2 linked regions of the Ovis aries genome follow. The protein of the gene in region 2 purifies or fractionates together with the protein of the main gene of each other region. This does not show direct contact. Links are inferred from orthologs where the notes say so. Each region holds a gene or a part of one and is shown on either strand. Other genes may lie near its edges.

The links.
Region 1: the proteins of OGDH (region 2) and DLST fractionate together in Homo sapiens (co-fractionation; 3 studies listed by BioGRID). This does not show direct contact. The link is inferred for Ovis aries from reciprocal best matches to the Homo sapiens genes OGDH and DLST.

The regions. Positions count from the first base shown.
Region 1 is NC_056060.1:84,220,997-84,224,812, forward strand, and holds part of DLST (dihydrolipoyllysine-residue succinyltransferase component of 2-oxoglutarate dehydrogenase complex, mitochondrial), read left to right. Parts: intron 1-720; coding exon 721-769; intron 770-3,265; coding exon 3,266-3,321; intron 3,322-3,454; coding exon 3,455-3,529; intron 3,530-3,769; coding exon 3,770-3,816. UniProt on the Homo sapiens protein: Dihydrolipoamide succinyltransferase (E2) component of the 2-oxoglutarate dehydrogenase complex. The 2-oxoglutarate dehydrogenase complex catalyzes the overall conversion of 2-oxoglutarate to succinyl-CoA and CO(2).
Region 2 is NC_056057.1:78,452,390-78,456,205, reverse strand, and holds part of OGDH (2-oxoglutarate dehydrogenase complex component E1), read left to right. Parts: intron 1-1,157; coding exon 1,158-1,312; intron 1,313-1,451; coding exon 1,452-1,598; intron 1,599-2,108; coding exon 2,109-2,199; intron 2,200-2,575; coding exon 2,576-2,755; intron 2,756-3,816. UniProt on the Homo sapiens protein: 2-oxoglutarate dehydrogenase (E1o) component of the 2-oxoglutarate dehydrogenase complex (OGDHC). Participates in the first step, rate limiting for the overall conversion of 2-oxoglutarate to succinyl-CoA and CO(2) catalyzed by the whole OGDHC.

The sequences.
Region 1 (3,816 bases), on a different chromosome or scaffold from region 2:
ATCTGAAAAAACAAGACACATGAAAGAATATAATCAGGTGAAGCAGATAGAGTAATTAGTTGTCTGTGGCAGCAGTGCGATTATTTGTAATAAGGACAATTGGTGGGGCAGAAAGAAGCTCTCACCTTGTTGAGTGTGACCAGAATGGAAGGTCTCAGCAAGAGTGGGAAGGCAATAAATGGAAAGGAGGTGTAATAGTTTGCTTGAGCAAGCTGAAGACCTTGGGCCAGAAGTAGCCTGGTCTTTGCTGTTGGGATTCAGGCAACAAAACTTCCAGTGCATTTTAAGTAACCAGGGAAGCAAACTCGGACCAAACTTTCCACTGCTTCTTTAGGCTGTGTGTAGTCACAGGATAAGCTATCATGTGTCTCAGGCTTCCATTGTATTTGAAAACTTGGGAAGTAGAGGCATTCTATCATGAAAACATACAGGGATAATGAAAGTTTATGAATTTCGAGATAAATAAGATTATAGAATTCTCCCCTTTCTTCCTCAAACCCATTCCCTGCAGTCGCACATACCTGTTGTTCTCTGCCATTACGGTTACTATGGTGGAAAAGTTTAAGAGGCAGGACTCTGTGTGATACAGATTATATTATTGCCTGCTGTTGATCCTGCTCTATCTCAGAGTTAGGGGGTGAACAACTGCTTCTCCATTCCCAGCAGGTATCCTGTATGAGATAAAGAGTTGTTGGTTAAGAGTTGTTTTGTTTCTTGCAGGGATCTCCTTATGTCAGGGACCAGGTTACCCTGACAGCAGGAAGACTGTGTAAGTATCACTGGGGAGCACAGATATGTGGACCCGGGGTATTGAAGACACCAGTTTGACCATCTGCTTTCTTTCCTGTCTTTCAAGCCTAGTAATCAAGCTGGTTATATTGAGTCCCTTGACCTGAACTTGATGTTAATTTATGATATGAGCCTGAGCTTCAGCCCCATGTGAAGTATTGGACCAGGAGTGTGTCAGGACCAGGTGTTCAGATTATAATGAAAGTGGAGCTGGAATCCTCTTTTTATGGGAATTGTTAGAAGGATGCTCCTAAATATTCTGGTTGGCTACAAGTGAAGCTGAAGGACTGGAGGTTACGTTTATTGTGGAGGTTAAGAGCATCCTTTTGGTTGCATAGTTACGCATTTTAGAAACAGTAAAAGCAAGAGACTAGTATTTAACTCCTGGGACTTTGACTAGTGTAGAGGGAAGGAATGCTACTATTGCATAATGCAAAATTTGGAGAGAGGCCACCCATGTGTGTTTCAGATTAACTTCTGCCTATGAGTGTTGCTTAACACTACTTTGCATTCCAAGTATTTTCAGGGTGGTAGTAAGAGGACGCTCTTTAGTTTCCTGTTGAGCAGCTGTCAAGCTATTTTTCTCTATAGGTGGAATCTTTAAAATGAAGGGTCGGCAGATTGCTCCTTCTTCACTGTGCATTAGAATGGCAGTTTGGCATTCATAAGTCTTTGAACTGTGTGTACCTTTTGATCTAGCAATCCCATTTCTAGGGCTCTGTACTGAACGCCTAGTGTACCCGTGTTTCTCAGAATGGTCAAACAACAATGGATGGGTTAGGCTATGCTATGCTATATGTTCATTCTACAAGTGGGAAAAAGCAAGTTATAAAATTATTCCTTTTGTATTGTATGGTATAGTCCCATTGTGAATGTTCTTTTTGCTCTTTCTAAGTTTACTACTGTTAACATCTAATACTTTTGTAAATTTAAAATTATTTAGGGAGTGTCAAAGTGTGTTTCTCATCTATAGTTTAAATGAAAATTAGAGCGACTACAAATCCTGTGCAATAAATAAAACAAATAACTATTTAAAAGTTAATTATTTTAAAAACCCCTAAACTTTGAATGATGAGGATCACAGATTAGGGTATTACTCTAATCTAGTAACTGTTTCTGTATTGTATCTTGTCTTTTTTCTGTGCATAAGGTACCCATTTTACTAAAAATCTTTTATTGTAAAACTGTGTTTGGTTTTTTGTTTTTATTTAATAGGTTACACATTTACATGGTTGAAAAGTAAAAAGAGTGTCCATGAGAAGACTTTATCCTGTTCTCCCATGCTACTGCGTTCCTATTCCCAGAGACAGCCGATGTGCCAGATTCTGGGTGTCCTCAGAGAGCAGTCTCTGCATTGACACGTTACCCATTAGTTATTGCCCATGAACATGTACCTATACATGGTTGGAAACTTTTATGCAGAACACTTTGTATTCTGTATTTTTTTAAATAACACATTTTCCCTTGATTTTACATAGAACTTAAAAATACCAAAGGCAACTTAAATCTGTTTCACTTTTTATTGTAAAGGTGCTCATTGTAGACTATTCAGACAGTCTTGAAGTATAGAAAGTGAAAGTTCCCATCAGTCCAAATCACTCTTCCAAAATGTATGTATATGACAGATAACCACAGATACCATATACCAGATACCATGATTCTCCATGGTCATATCATTCTCCAGGTTACGTTATTTCAGGTTAGTGTCATATCAGAGAATACCTTGCTCTTTTTGAGGTTCCTCTTGAGTGAGTCCAAAGTGGACTGATGTGCTGCCTTCTGGCAGGAGAACAGGTGATTATGAGGTTTTCAGTGGGGCTTTTTGTTTGTTTTTTTGTTTATTTTGCATATAACACCTTGTTTTACTTTCATCTTGCTGTCTTATCTAAATCTTTAATCACATAGACAGAAATTCTGTTTTACATGGCAAAGTGGCAAGTACCCTGAGGGCACACAGTTTTATCTTACTTGGATTCAGTTAAGAAAAAACCTAATCAGGAAGCTGAGTCCTTTTGTGATTGTGCAAAGGACCAAGATGCTGTCTTTTTCTTCAGAGATGCAAACGTAAGTCTGTTCTGGAAGAGCTGGCATTTCACTGCAGCACATTTCACTCACCCAAGGGCCTCGCTGCTTGAGGCACCCAAGTAATCCAGGCTTTACTCTAGACCTGCTGAGTCAGGATCTCTGGGAATGGGGCCTAGACAGGTATGCTTTGAAAAAGTTCCCCAGGTAACAGTGATGGGCGCTCCTAGTCAAGAGTCACTGGTTTAAAGGGAAGGTGAAAGAATCTAAAAAAGAGTGGATATTTGTATAACTGACTCACTTTGCTGTACAGCAAAAACTAACACAACATTGTATATCAACTATACTCCAGTAAAAATTTATTAAAAATAAAGGTGATTCATCATGGCTTATCTAGACTAAAATGTGAATGATTCACCTGTTAAAGGAGTTTACTTTTATGTTTGTTTTGTAGCATTAACAGCAGTAATATCTTCAGCGTTCGCTTCTTTAGAACTACAGCTGTATGCAGTAAGTACCTTCAGCTCCCTGCGTTCTTGGGGATGGAATTTTAATGAGAAGAATAGCAATTGACTGAATTTAATGGCAGAAAAAAAAGGAAAAATATGGACTGTGTGATTTCCCCCCTCCCCTTTTTTCCTAGAGGATGATGTGATTACAGTCAAAACCCCAGCGTTTGCAGAATCTGTCACAGAGGGGGATGTCAGGTGGGAGAAAGGTAAGATTTACTGCCTTCTCACTTTTTAAGTTTAAATACTTTTGAAAAGTCCCCTTTACTCCCCTCACCTTCATGATAATCAGTGGAACCTGTGGCTCCACTCTTTTCTTTACATGCAGTGTACCTTCCCCTGGCCTGTAGGAAAGGGGTCCTGTAACACCTGCCAAAGGGGATTTTATGGCTACTTTTCTTGTTACCCACTGCTCACCCCTAACAGGTAGCCTTTGACTGTCTTTTCAGCTGTTGGAGACACAGTTGCAGAAGATGAAGTGGTTTGTGAGATTGAA
Region 2 (3,816 bases):
AGAACCCAGCACGCTTGGTCGGCATGGCTGCTGCAAAGGCATGTAAGGGCATTTGTGGGCCTAAAACTCACTGTTGGGAGTTTCCTGGCGGCTTAGTGGTTAGGCTTCAGCACTGCCACTACCGTGGCCAGGGTTTGATCCCTGGTTGGAGAACTGAGATACCACAAGCTGTGTGGCATGGCCAAAATATTAATTAATTAAGATTTAGTGGCACACCAGGGCATATCTTCTTTAATTCCAGCACTGACTAGGGTTTGCTGTTGGCCCCTCATTCTGACCCCAGGACAGCCAGCAGGTGATGAGGGGAGAGAAGTGCTGATCACTTGGCTGAGGAAGGCTGTGTGGGCCCCTCAAGATGGCTCCCCAGCAGGCGCCTCTATCTGGTCAGTGTCAGGAAAGACGAGAGAGGGCCCCCAGTTCAGCCCCGTACCCTGCCAGAGGCTGCTCAGCACAGTCGCCATGACGGACTGCCAGAGGGCTGCCTCTCTGACACTCGGTTCTCCCGGGCCTTTGCTGTTTTCTCTCACTCTCATTTCCTGGCATGCATACTGCCCAGGTCACCCTAGGCTTTCAACAGGACACACGGCCTCCTTCCCAGCTGTGACACGTGAGTGGTGTCACGAAGTGCCTGCTCTGTTCAGGACCCTTCTTTTTGTATATGTGCAGTCATGCTTCTGTAGAACCTGATATCCCCAAGCAGAGTCAATTGTTCAAAGAAGAATGTAGAATTTGGAAGCCCGCTACAGTTAAGTGGCCTTTGAGCTATGATATCCACCAGTGGCACAGGGCCTTTTTTTCTCACAGTGCTGGGCACAGTCTGACCTTGAGGTCAGAGAAGCTGCCTTGCCCAGCAGCTTCCTTGTCCCCAGGCTGGTGATTCTCTCCTCCCACCATGAAAGAATACCTTGACCCAGGGGTTCTCACTCTCCCTCCCTGCCCACTAGGCTCCATGCTACGTGGAGGAAGCATTTCATGGCCAAGTTCAGAGTGAAAGGAGGTCGCGGGGCCAGGCCTGGTGCCCCAGGTCACAGCTAGCTCTGTTGCATCTGAAGTGGAGGCCACCTGTTCCTCCCAGCCTTCTGGCTAAGTGGGCAGTCAACATACCTGGGTGAACATCCCCTTGACTGTGTGTTTGTGTGTGTGTGCATTAAATACAGATGGCCTACTGCCAGCACATTGGGGTAGAATTCATGTTCATCAATGACCTGGAGCAGTGCCAGTGGATCCGGAAGAAATTTGAGACGCCTGGGGTCATGCAGTTCACCAACGAGGAGAAGCGGACCTTGCTGGCCCGACTCGTGCGCTCCACCAGGTACAGGGCTGCACTGGCCCCCTCTGTGTGGTACAGTCTGTTGATGGGGTTGGGTGGGTTTGGGGCGTGGCCACAGCTCTGGGAGAGCAAGGTTGTCCCTGCTGACACGCCTCTTCAGGGTGGCTTAGTTTCTGTCCAGGTTTGAGGAGTTCCTGCAGCGGAAGTGGTCATCTGAGAAGCGCTTTGGTCTGGAAGGCTGCGAGGTACTAATTCCTGCCCTCAAGACCATCATTGACAAGTCCAGTGAGAACGGAGTGGACTACGTGATCATGGGAATGCCACACAGGTACCTGGCCACCCTGTGAGCGTCCGGAGCGCAGAGGCAGGGCACTGGGCAAGCCTGGTATACAGTAACCCTAATCCCTACCCCCAGTGACCGTCGTCACAGCAACCCCTCACTGGGTGGTCACTGTCACACTCGAGGCCACATGTGGTTGTAGACAGACATCTTGGCCTCGTGACTGGGTGGGATCACAGGTGAGGGAGGTTAACCTAGAGGGAAGGTGGCTTGGTACACGAAGCAGAGACCTCAGCTTGAAGAGGCAGAGGAGGCTAAGGATGGAGCATTCACTGCAGGCTGGCAGCATTCTCTGATTTCTGCTTTTCTTCCTTCTACCTCGTCATGGCCTTGGATGCCAGGCAAGCAGAGGCCGAGTGTCCCCCATCAGTTCTGGTCTCAGCTCCTCTTGGGCTGCAGACTGAGGCACTACCTGTCCCTCAGGGGAGAAAGGGGATAAAACAGCATTGTCTGCTGCCCAGGGCCCAGCTCAGACCCTGCCCACTCCCATGTGTCCAGGGGGAGACTGAATGTGCTTGCGAACGTCATCAGGAAGGAGCTGGAGCAGATTTTCTGTCAGTTCGACTCAAAGCTGGAGGCAGCTGATGAGGTAAGACACCTGATTTCTTTTAGAAACTAGCATAGCTCCAACCCACGCCAGACCCTGGCTTCATTTATTTCTCTAGAAGGACTTATGGGGTCTGGGATCCTCTATACCACTCACAAAAAAAGGAAGTGGCTGACCTCCCAGAGAAAAGAGAGATGAGAGGCCTGGCAGCCCCCACAGTTCTCCCCACCGTGGGTGGGGATATGGCCCTCTAGTTGAGGGACCTCCTCCTTATACCCTGGGTGGAACCATTCTGGAAAAAGCCTTTCCGTCCTTCTAGAAATGAGAGTTCTGGGTGTAGAAATAACACAGGACAGGGCTGTCACAGAGAGTAAGCGTCTCCCTGCCTAGGTAAAAGCCTCACCGTTTGTGCCGGCAGGGTTCTGGAGATGTGAAGTACCACCTGGGCATGTATCACCGGCGGATCAACCGTGTGACCGACAGGAATATCACCTTGTCGCTGGTGGCGAACCCTTCCCACCTGGAGGCTGCTGATCCCGTGGTGATGGGCAAGACCAAAGCTGAGCAGTTTTACTGTGGGGACACTGAGGGGAAGAAGGTGAGACCATGTGGGCTGGCCGGGGGCAGTCCTGAGTCCAGACAGTCCAGGACAGGCTCTTAGCCACAGGCACGCCCCAGACCTCACATTTCCAGAATTGAACAAAATGTTCTGAGTGGAATTCCAAAGAGTAGCAATAGTAAACCAGTCCCAGTTACAGATACGCTTCCTCCCAAGTTGTGACCACCAGGGCTAGGTGGGGAGTAGTTTGCTTTCATTACCACAGCTGTGGAAAAGCTAGTCTTGCAAGATAATCATGATGGTCAAAGAGGTTTTATCATTGAGCAAGAGGACAGGGTCTTAAGGAAGAGGTGTGGGTGAGCCTAAAGGAGGAATTGTGAAGCTGACAGACAGGAGAAGAGATGGCCCAGTGAATATTAGGGTGGCACCATTTAGAGATGGAGAACAGCTCCAGGTCTGAATTGTCCTAGTACAGAGGTGGAGAACAGCTCGAGGTCTGGATGGCCCTAGTACCAGCATTTTCCAGATATGTGATGGTGAATGCTTAATGTTGATTAGCCAGCCTGCTGGTATATAGAAATCCTCAGTGGATTGTAACTGTCCTTGTTTGATCTCAAAGTGTAATTCTGTCTTTTACAAATTATGTAGTTCTTTCTAATGACAACCTCAAAGCCAAGCAATCAGGAAAATCAACTTTTTGTAGTGTCTGTGTGAGCATTCTGGGGCGTGTTCGAAGTCAGCATCACCACCATGCTCTCAAGCATCTCTTTTTCCTAGAAACAGGGTCACGTGTGAGAAAGCTAATAGAACATACACATTGCGACATAAAGCTGCAGGTTAACTGGTAAAGAACTTCAGAAGAGGGATACATGGGTATGGAAGGAAGTGGAATGAAAGGCAGTCAAATCTTCTCATTGATAGAGCAGATAGTTGTCATATTTAATTAAAGAAACAGCAGGACTTAGGTAGATGGGAAGAAAAGAATGTTCCCTGGAGATGAAAGATGGACAAAGATGGCGGCGGGTGGGGGAGGTGCTATAGGCCGCACAAGAATGAAGTAGGTGGGAGGCAGCCTGGCCGAACGATGCCCTGGTGAGCCT